2 linked regions of the Caenorhabditis elegans genome follow. The protein of the gene in region 1 interacts with the protein of each later gene in a biochemical or structural test. Each region holds a gene or a part of one and is shown on either strand. Other genes may lie near its edges.

Evidence for each region.
Region 2: of the proteins of prmt-9 (region 1) and his-3, one has a biochemical effect on the other in vitro, tested with the Caenorhabditis elegans proteins (one study listed by BioGRID).

What each region holds. Positions count from the first base shown.
Region 1 is NC_003282.8:12,678,271-12,686,215, reverse strand, and holds the start of prmt-9 (PRotein arginine MethylTransferase), read left to right. Parts: upstream 1-1,837; coding exon 1,838-2,006; intron 2,007-2,060; coding exon 2,061-2,338; intron 2,339-3,105; coding exon 3,106-3,215; intron 3,216-3,270; coding exon 3,271-3,529; intron 3,530-4,905; coding exon 4,906-5,207; intron 5,208-5,270; coding exon 5,271-5,436; intron 5,437-6,109; coding exon 6,110-6,326; intron 6,327-6,969; coding exon 6,970-7,322; intron 7,323-7,945.
Region 2 is NC_003283.11:16,038,640-16,041,806, forward strand, and holds his-3 (Histone H2A), read left to right. Parts: upstream 1-2,168; coding exon 2,169-2,552; downstream 2,553-3,167. Other genes in the region: his-4 (Histone H2B 2), read right to left, coding at 1,505-1,876. UniProt on the Caenorhabditis elegans protein: Core component of nucleosome. Nucleosomes wrap and compact DNA into chromatin, limiting DNA accessibility to the cellular machineries which require DNA as a template.

The sequences.
Region 1 (7,945 bases):
TTTTTGCAAAACGCGCAAGTGTCAAATTTTTTATTATTTTTCCGCACGGAAACGCCTGATATGCGGAAACTATGCGAGCGAAAAAAAATAATCATTTGCGCGCATGCATATATATATTTGCAATAAGAAGCTAGACAATGCTCGTGGAATTGAAGAGACGCAGATTGTCAAATGATTCGAATATATACATCTGGCAGGTGGTTTCTCAAAGGAAAGACAGAGAGAGAGAGAGGGGACTGAGCACCAGATGTTGTCAGTTTTCAATGGACATTTATTGTGACAAGTGACCCATTGCCTAATTGAGGAGTTTACCCGTGTTCGGAGCTCAATAAACTTGCTCCGGATAAAGTTTTCAAAAAAAAATTGTGTGACTAACCATCGAATAATTGAAGGTTTTTGTGGTACGAGCAATGGTGTCGGGTTTTAAAAAATATTCGAATAAATGTTCCACATTTTAAACTTTAAAACTAATAAAAACAATTTTTTGGAACAATTTAGAAATATCCGGATATTATTGAAAATTTTGATCGTTTTTTGAAAAACGTCAAAAAAAGATTTTTTCCATCGAAATCAGAATTTTTTAGTAAATTTTATAGTTCAAACAGTAAATCAAAAAACCGTTTTTTCGAAAAGTTTCAGAAATGACCGATTTTGAATTCCTGAAAATTGGGTGATAATTTTAAAATCTAAAAAATCTAAGAAAAACCGCCGATTAAATAAATCATTGTGATTGCCAACGATAAAATACACTTTTCCCCGGTGACAGTTGACAGAAATGGTGAAAAGAAAACGGAAAAAGACCGAAATGAAGACGTCTCCCGCTGGGAAAACGACAACTTTTTGGCTGATTGACAGAAAACGGAACGAACGGAATTGGAAAATGAAAACTGAAAGGATAAGATGGGATAATAGGCATTTAGAGGTGAAGTTATTATTTCTGTTCTAGAGATCTTGGTCGTAAATCACTAAAAAGTCGGAATCGATCAAAGTGATAAAGAACTTTGAACGTTTTGTTACTCAGAGATGCTCAAACAAATATTTGTCACATTTTTCTATGCTGCTGGGAGAAAAAATTGTGAAAAAATACAAAAAATTAAGACTAATTTCAGAAAATTTTCGAAAATAAAATAAATACACGCAAGAAATGACTACTGTACTTCACTTTTCCCGCAATTTGACGTGATGTTGTTTGCGGATTCTGCATACACTTTCACGGCAAATTGCGGAATTTTAAAATTTTCCTATTTTTTGTTTTAATTTCTCTCCGTTTCTTTCGATTTTCTAGCTTTAATTCACATATTTAGAGTAATAATTCGTATTAAATATCTTAAACAATCGGAAAAAAAACGAGAAAAAACCTTTTGAGCTTTGAAATGCCGCGTTTCTGCCGTAGCCCATAAAAAATTCATTAAAAAACTTACGATCTACTAATCAAAACGGCTTCAAACACAAATGTTTCCGTTTCTCTCTCACTTTATCCCAAAACTGGACACCGATATACACTTTGAACAAAAAAGTACATAAATCGATAAGAAACCGGGTTGCGGAAGGCGTCAAGTTCATTTGAAGTTGTGCCGACACATTATGTCAGTTTTTGGGTTGAAAAAGTGTTCGGGGAGGTGAGAAAAATTGAAAAGCCCGCCGAAAATTTGCAATTTCGAGACGAGGGACTCGAAAAAAGTGTTTGAGGACGAGAAAACACGGAGGCACCCGAGCTAGGCCATGATTTATTTAAATATATTTTTCGAACGCTCCCAGCCCATTTTGCTCGTTTTATTCATTTATTTTAATGATTTCTAACCTATTTATCAATAAAAATGAAAAAATAAATTGTCAGATGGCCGAACCAGCACAGGAAACACCGTGCTTCTCAATGGAAAAGGCCGAACGGGCATTTCTCGATGGAAACTTCGAGGAGGCACTCAAACATTTCTTCGTCTGCATACGAATGCTACCAGTAGAACGACGTGGAGTCTATGAAGATCAGTTTGCTGCAGCTCTTCATGGTATTATAAGGAAAAACGTGTAATTTTCTGTTAAAAAAACTAATTTTTTTGCAGGCTGGATTGCGCTGGACCACAACAATGCTTCCCGGGCTGTCTGCCTTTATCCACAAATCAAGGAATTATTCCCGGAAACGATTCGAACGAAAATCGCTCTGATTCGTGCTGTACAAGGAACCGAGCAGAGTAAATGGCTTCTGAATTGCCTGCCGATTTGCAAAGATTCGATGGATTTGGCGACGAAACCAGAGGATTTGGTGGCTTTGAGGATTGCACGTGTCAATTTAACCACAATTCCATTCCCACAGTGGCATATTCGAATGATCAATGATGTGGTAATTAAAAACCGCTAGCATTGAATTTATTCCTGGAAAAAAATGTATCCAAACGGAATCGCAACAGCGAATTTTTAAGAAAATAGAGCTCAAATTCGAAATTTTTGAAGAAAAAGTGATAAATTCAGCTAAAATCTCAAATTTTGCTAATTTGTAGTTAATTTTTATTTATTTTGGTACACTTTCAGTCGATAGTTTCCCAAACACTGAAAATACACCTAGAATTTTATTAAAACTGGTAATAAACTACTAAAACATGCGGAAAAAGCAATAAAAACGAATTAAAGTCAGCTCAGACACGTAAAAAATGGAGAATTTGAAGACTTTATGCTAAATTTAGTTCTAGTAATGAAATTCGGACATTTTTAAAGAATTCGATACCCCTCATTTAATGCAAAAAAAAGTTAAAATTATTCAGAAACTACGTTTGATTGAGGAATAACGGATCAGAAAAGTCCCTCAAATTCAAAATTTCAAAGAAAAAGTGCTGAGTTTAGCTGAAATTTTCAATTTTGCCAGTTTGAAGCCGCCGAAAATCAGTTTTTATTGGATTTTCACTCTTCACCGAGTTTTTTCGTCGTTTAGTATCCCTAAATCAGCATAAAAACGCGTAAGAAACAACCAAAATATGCAATAAAAAGTGATAATTTAATAAAATCGAATTTAAATCCGCTGTTAAACGTAAAAATTAGCTGAATTTTAGGATTTTAGCTAAATTGAGCTTTAAAAATTTTAAATTAGTCTTTTAAACTGCAAAATAATTTCAGAAACGAAACGAAGCGTTTGCCAAAGCTCTAAACGACACTATCAAGAGCAGAATCACAGTTGTCTTCGATATTGGATCCGGTACTGGTATTTTATCGGCTATTGCTGCGAGGTAAGACTTTCAAAAAAAAAAATTAAAATTAAATTATAAATATTCTTTTTTCCAGAAAAACCAACTTGGTGACCGCTCTCGAAGAAAATATGTGCCTGACAATGATTTCTAAGGAGGTTTTAAAGAGAAACGGTGTTGAAAGTCGTGTTAATGTTCACGCAAAGAACTCGACATACTTTGAAACTTGTGAAAAAGCCGATATAGTCGTTTCCGAAACTCTCGATTGCTGTGTATTCGGAGAAAAAATTGTAGAGACTTTCTTGGACGCTCATGTTCGTTTTTCACATGACAGAACTATCTTTATTCCGCATCAGGTAACAATTTGGAATTCCGTATTTTCAAGAGAATTCTACGATGAATAATATGTTTTCTGAAAGCTAACAGATTGAAAATTCCGAATTCAGTATGAAATTTCAGTTAATTTAATTTTTTTAAATAAGAAGTACCGAAATCTGGGAAATATTTTCGAATGACTTCAAATTTTCCCCTCATTCTGAATATCTAAGTGAAAAAAATTCAAAAATAGTTTTATATTTCAGCTTAAAATCGCGAATTTTCATTTGCGTCCTCATGAGATATCCAAATTTTCGCGCCAGAGACGCCATGTGTATATTTACGAGATTTTCAATATTTATCGGATGATGATTTCAGTTTTTCAACGAGTTTCCTTCATTTTCGTCGGTTTTTGCCAATTTTTTTTTTGAAAATGTGTGTTCTTGAAGTCAATTAACCATTATATCATCAAAAACCTGACAAATTTTTCGTTTTTTGATGATATAATGTTTAATTAACCTAAAAACACATTTTCCTTTAAAAAACTTTTGCAAAAACCGACGAAAATGAAGGAAACTCGTTGAAAAACAAAATAAGCATCCGATAAAGATTGGAAATCTCGTAAATATACACAAATCTCGTAAATCGACACATGACGTCTCTGGTGCGAAAAATCGGCATTTGAAAATCTTGATTTCACGCTAAAATCAGGGAATTTTTTTGAATTTTTTCACATAGAATTCGGAATCTGGGGAAAATTTGAAGTCCTTTAAAAAAATATTTATAAGATTTCGGTGCTCAACCTTTAAAACGAATCGATCAGGGGTGTGCGGCAAATTTGCCGAATTTGCCGTTTGCCGAGCTCGGCAAATTTCAAAAAAGTAGATTTGCCGAATTTGCCGAGCTTGGCAAATTTCGAAATTTGCCGCACACGTCAAAAATTTGACAGTACAATTTTGACTAAAACTGTTGATTTTTTCGCCAAAAATTTAGTAAAATGACAACAAATTGAGTTATTTTGATGTTTAAGCAGACACACTACACCTAACTTGTTCAGAAACCAGAGGTGTGTTAAGAATTCAGTAGTTTTGGTGCTCCAAAAAATATCAAAAAATATATAATTTTTCCGAGTTTGTTAAGCACGGCAAATTTGCCGAATTTGCCGAGCTCGGCAAATTTTGAGATTTGCCGCACACCCCTGGAATCGATGATGGATCGGGGAGTTCTCGTTTTGGACGAAATCAGAGAAATTATTGTTATTCGGAATTTTAGAATATTTTTATTTTATTTTTAGAAGCGAAATTCCCATAATATCAAAATTGAAAAAGGTTTAGCTCTCAGAGAAATACAATTTGTTCTATAATCCTCTTGAAAGCATTCTGATTCCCTAATTTAATATAACTTTATTCATTTCCAGGCTACCGTCTACGTCCGTCTCTTCAGTTGTCGTGAAATCTTCGATATTCATTGTCAAGACTACGGAGGAGTTCGTTATCGATCCGAATACGTGAAAATTGGCGAATCAGATGCCGAACAACCGTACTGGTGTGCATCAGCTGCAGATTACTCTCAATTTGAACTTCTTTCTGGTTCAGTAGCCATGCATTCGGTCGATTTTAGCAGTATTGCCAATTTGAAGGATTCACTTGCCAACTCGAATTCTTTCAAAATTCGACCGGCGAAAGATGGAGTAGCACACGGATTTTCTGTCCATTTCACGTGAGATTTACTCTTTAAAAAACTTAAATTAATTTTGAAATATTCTAAACTTTCAATTTTAAGATCTGATCTAACTGGTCACGGAGACAATATCATTGACTCGTCAAAATCAAGAGCATGGGATCTTGGAATTATTCCATTCAAGGAACCATGTTTGGTGAAGTGTGATAAAGAATATGAAGGATCATGGAAACTCTTGAATAATCGATTGGATGTGTACAATGATTTTGTACGTTGTTTTTGTCGATTTACTCGATTTTGCACTTTTAAATGCAAGAAAAATTGATAGAGTTCGAGAAAATCCGATTTGAAATGTCGAACAGTTTTGGAAGTTTTACGAAATTTTTCAAAATTGAAATCTATAGGATTTCAGAGAAAATCAGAAAACTTCGGAAAAGAAAGAATCGAAGTACGAAAATTTTCGATTTTCCGGAAAACCAAAAAAAAAAAAGCAAAGAAAAATGCAGAAAATTTATATTAAAATTTAATATTTATCAAATTTTATTTATTTTGATTAAAAAAAAAAACATAAGAAAACAGATATTTATTCTTTAAAAAAATTAGAAAAATACCCAAATTTTAATATGTTTTCCGAAAAATACAAATTGTTTTCGAAATATCGGAAAAACAAGAATGTTTCGATTATTCGACTTTAGCAACATAAAAACCGTGCAGAAAAACGTAATTTTTCTGAAAATAAAATTATAAATCGAAAAAAAACTAAAAATTGTTGATTTTCCGAAAAATCTAATAAAAAAATGTTCAGAAAATCGAAAAACCGAAAATTCCGATTCCTTTTTTCAAAAATCGAAAATTTTTCGTTGTTCGATTTTGAAATTTCTCTAGGATTAAAAAAAAGCGAAAAGATTTCAATTTTAGAACTTTATAAAATTTGTTTTCAGTACGACGAAAATCTTCAAAAGCACGAGGACAGTCTTCGCTACGAGACCGCTTCACTGGATCAACTTCAGAAAATCCGTGATGATAGTTATTTCAAGGCAATGATGGGAGAAATTGATCCGATTGAACTTCCATTTACTCGTGATATTTCATCGAGTATTCCAGCTCAGTGTGTGCTTAATACTGTGGAAAGCCAAACGCCTATAAGGCATCTTATTAGTATGTCAGAAATTTTTAGAAATTATTATTTGATAATTAAACGCTCCTAAATTATGGAAAAGTCAATTCATTTTCGGAAATTTGAAAAAATTCGAAAAAAAACGTTTCTAAAAATTTGTTAGATTTTCGAAAACAAAAATCGATAAATCTTTTTGAAAAATCTATGCACTTTGAAAGTTCTAAAATAAATTTTCGGTGAAATCGACGAATTTCAGAGAAATTGAACACTTTTCTAGGAAAAAGAGGTACATTTTCATTAAAAAATGATAAATTTCGAAAAAAAAATTTGAAAAATATCTAGAAGCAATCGATAAATTTTTTGGAAAAAAAAAAATTTCAGAAAAAACCGACTCATTTTCTGGATAGAAAGAAACAATTTTAGAAGAAAAAAAATTGATTGATTCTCAGAAATTTTTTAAAAATATCGATTAATTTCCGGGAAAAAATTTTTTTTCAGAAAATTTCTTTAAAAAATCGATCAATTTTCTGGAAAAAAAAAACATTTTCAGAAAAAAGCGATAATAATTAAAAAAAAAAAGAAATTTTCGGAAAAAAAAGATTAATACTCAAAACGAAAATTTTAATCGAAAAATGTTCGAAAAAAATTTATTAAAACTCCGAATTAACTTTTACTTATTTGCAGCTAACTTCTGTCGCTACGACGGTACATTGGATCAAGAGACATTCTTCCGAATAGAAGAATTCGTTGGATTCCGAGATCACGTTCAAAAGATTGTTCCAACAAAATTCCGTATTCTTGGACATCTCTTCTATTCAGATAGAGTTCATTTCGATGCTCGACCAGATCCTTCAGCTCATTGTCAAGTCGATTTGAGTACTGTTCGAAGTTTTAATCTTCGAGAGATGCGTGATATTAGATTAACTCAACGAGAAGATATTGTGATGGCTTCGAAGGAATTCGTGTTATACGACTTTAATATTAGCGCTGAAAAGTTCCGACAGGACACATATATCACTGTAACACAGGACGTTACGGTAAGAATAATACCTATGATTGCTGAATAAATTTAGAAATAGCCTTGAAACACGGAATTTTATAATGAAACATCTGCTAAAATTCGAAGAAAATTTTTTGCGGCTCAAAATTTAGGAAAAAAAAGACTAAACCTCTTAAAATTTAAAGTTTTGCTAATTTTGTTGCAACTGTCGTAATTTAATTTTTATTACTTTCGATTTTATCCTTTTTGCAGAAATTTAGCGTTTTTTTCGTTGATATCGGGGACTCTAGGGTTAAAAAAAAAGACAAAAATCGGAAGAAAAAATTTCCGGCAATTTCGGCGATTGCCGGTTTTGTGAATTTCCGGCAATTGGCAATTGCCGGTTTTGTGAATTTTCGGCAATTACGGCAATTGCCGGTTTTTAAGATTTCTGGCAATATCGGCAATTGCCGGTTTCGAGAATTTTCGGCAATTTCGGCAATTGCCGGTTTTCAAAACTTCCGGCATTTTTTAAATTGCCGGTTTTGAGAATTTCCGGAAATATCGGCAATTGTCGGTTTTCAAAAATTCCGGCAATTTCGGCAATGGCCAGTTTTGTGAATTTTCGGCAATTCCGGCAATTACCGCGTACCCATGTTGTGTAATAGATTTTTAAAATAG
Region 2 (3,167 bases), on another chromosome or scaffold:
TGTCTTTTTTCAATATAACTATTTTCCCGTTTCATTCGTATTCTTATAATACAAATAGGGAACGAGATGAAAAGATATGATCTCTTACCTCATATTAAATGCAGTTGTTTTTCCAGACATTTTTTCCATTAACCAACCGAATGTTTCAAATTGTGCAGAAATCCTACTTCCCATTCGTATTTTTTGCTGGCACCGTGATGTTTTCTTACCATTTGTAAGCCATAATTTGCATTTAATTTTAAGTTTTTTACGGTGTAAAAACTTAATCAGATATGTATGTACCTTACGCACAAAGTAAGAAAGTCTTTCAAAAAATCACCTAGCTTTTGTTGCAGAATATTATCTTTTAAATTTCCTAAAAGCTTTTGAAAAATTCAACCAGTTTCCTTTTTTTTGAAACTTTAAAGAATTTTCAGAAGAGCCTCAAAAATTTTCAAAACTGCAGTTTTTGAAATTGTCAAAACTTTCCAGATTTCTAATCGTTTCCGGGTTTCTAGAAAAAATTTCTCCAACTTTCCCATTGATTTCCAAGTGACTAATAGGCTTCAAATACTCCTGAAATTTCTGGGTTTGTTCAAACTTTTTCGAGTTTTCCAGAACATTCTCAATGGTTCTAAACATTTGTAGAGTTGACCAGAAGAAATTTCTAAAGATCTTTTAAAGATCCTAGCTAACTTTAGCAAATTCTTGAATGTTTCCAAACTTTCAAAAATGCTCCATTAATATAGGATTCTCTATTTTCAGAAATTTTCAGAAATTTCTCAGTGTTTTCAGAAGTTTGTATTACATTTTGAAGAGTTAAGGAAATTTTCAGAAATCAAAGAACTCGAAAGAACAAATCTGTCCCATTTTTGATAGCTCGATCGAACCCAAAAATTTGAACGGGTTTTTAAATACACATAGGATCACTTGAAATATCCAGAATCGCGATTGTGAATTTCCAGTGATGTACGAAGTAGGTTTCCGGAATTTTAAAAGTACAATGCTGCAAAGTTTAGAATGTATTTATATTTTTAAATATTCTTATTCTAACAACTGCACTTCTTTACGTCCCCATAGTTATAAAAATCTGGAAGCTTGATCATCGCACAAGTAGACAAGGTTTTAGGCAAACAGTTACAGTATTCGCGTTCAAGATTGCATGTTATATGTCAAACCCACTTTATATGAAACATTTACATTCAGATTATCATTCCAATTTTGTTAGTCAATTTTCTCTGGAGTAAAAACACACACAAGGGTGCAATTTTACGACTCTTTGAAAAACTAGGTGTTTTTATGAAACAAATTAATATTAAAATTATCTCCATAAAATAAAAATAAACAAACATTATTAAAAACAAAAAAATATTAAAAATTAAATTAAAAATTAATTTTAAAAACTATCCTCATATTCGTAAAAACTTTATTTCAGTTTAAAAACAGAAGAAAAATTGGATTTTTAAAAATGTGGCCCTAAAGAGGGCCGTTGGGTTCGGTTAGATTGCTTTCAGCAATTGAATGCTTACTTGCTGGAGGTGTACTTGGTGACAGCCTTGGTTCCCTCAGAGACGGCGTGCTTGGCAAGCTCTCCTGGCAGAATCAAACGGACGGCAGTTTGAATTTCGCGAGAAGAGATGGTGGATCTCTTGTTGTAGTGAGCAAGACGAGATGCCTCAGCAGCGATACGCTCGAAGACGTCGTTGACGAAAGAGTTCATGATAGACATAGCCTTGGAAGAGACTCCAGTGTCTGGATGAACCTGCTTGAGTACACGGTAGATGTACACAGAGTAGGATTCTTTACGGGCATGACGTCTCTTCTTTCCGTCCTTTGGCTTGGTGACGGTCTTGGCGGCTTTCTTTGCTCCTTTAGCAGACGGCTTTGGTGGGGCCATTTCGATTGATTGGACTGGTCGTTGGACAAGTGTAAAGAATGGGTTGATGGCCATTTCCTTTATAATAATTCATCGGTGGGAAGGAGGAGCCTATGGACATACTGCGGGGACACATTTCTATGTAGTCTCCCCAGCCGAATACGCAGAGTGCACAGTTTTTCTCGGTCACTCTGCCACCTCCTCCACCTGCCTTGTGTCTATGTGCCCGCCTAGTCACCGCAGTTGTGTTTAAAAGAGTGTGGTCTAATGGTCTCCTTCAGATCGTTTTTACATCTACCAACCAATCATCACCATGTCTGGACGCGGAAAGGGAGGCAAAGCCAAGACCGGAGGAAAGGCCAAGTCCCGCTCATCAAGAGCCGGACTCCAATTCCCAGTTGGTCGTCTTCACCGTATTCTCCGTAAAGGAAACTACGCTCAACGTGTTGGAGCCGGAGCCCCAGTTTACCTGGCTGCCGTTCTTGAGTACCTCGCTGCTGAGGTTCTCGAGTTGGCTGGAAACGCTGCCCGTGATAACAAGAAGACCAGAATTGCCCCAAGACATCTCCAACTGGCCGTCCGTAACGATGAGGAGTTGAACAAACTGTTGGCTGGAGTAACCATCGCCCAAGGAGGAGTTCTTCCAAATATCCAAGCTGTTCTTTTGCCGAAGAAAACCGGAGGAGACAAGGAATAGATGCCTTCTTAAAACATTTTACCGAACCCAACGGCCCTCTTTAGGGCCACAAATATTTAAAATCCTCTATTGAACATGAATAAAAATTATTTTTATCAATGGTTTTTGCACGTACTTTATTATAAATTGAAAATCGTTTGCAAAGAAGAAACTTCTTTTTGGATTTGGTTGATTCACAAAACGATTCGTAATTATTTTCTTCTGTCTTACAAATGTTAATTAAAATTGGACGAGGTCATTCCAAATTCAAATAAATTGGCGCCAAATTCAAAGTTGTCATTGAATGTGACCTTGTTGAACAATATGATTTTAGAGAGGTTTTCCTGGTTGAGTATTTGAATACACGTGGTTGCAAATTCCTTAGAAACAAAGATATAGTGACGTCACAATACCTACAATTGTTTGGACCTGGATCTGACTCAGATAGGCAATTGATGACGTCATTAATGACACTTTCTGTGAGGACAGTAAAACATTTTGATATTATAAAAATATACTAAATTGTATGGCTCTAAAGTTTCCTGGTTTTGTTCTTTTTTTTTAATAAGTTAAAAAATAATGAATAATTTATTCAAATTGGATTGAAAATGATTGGATCATATGTATGTGGCCCTA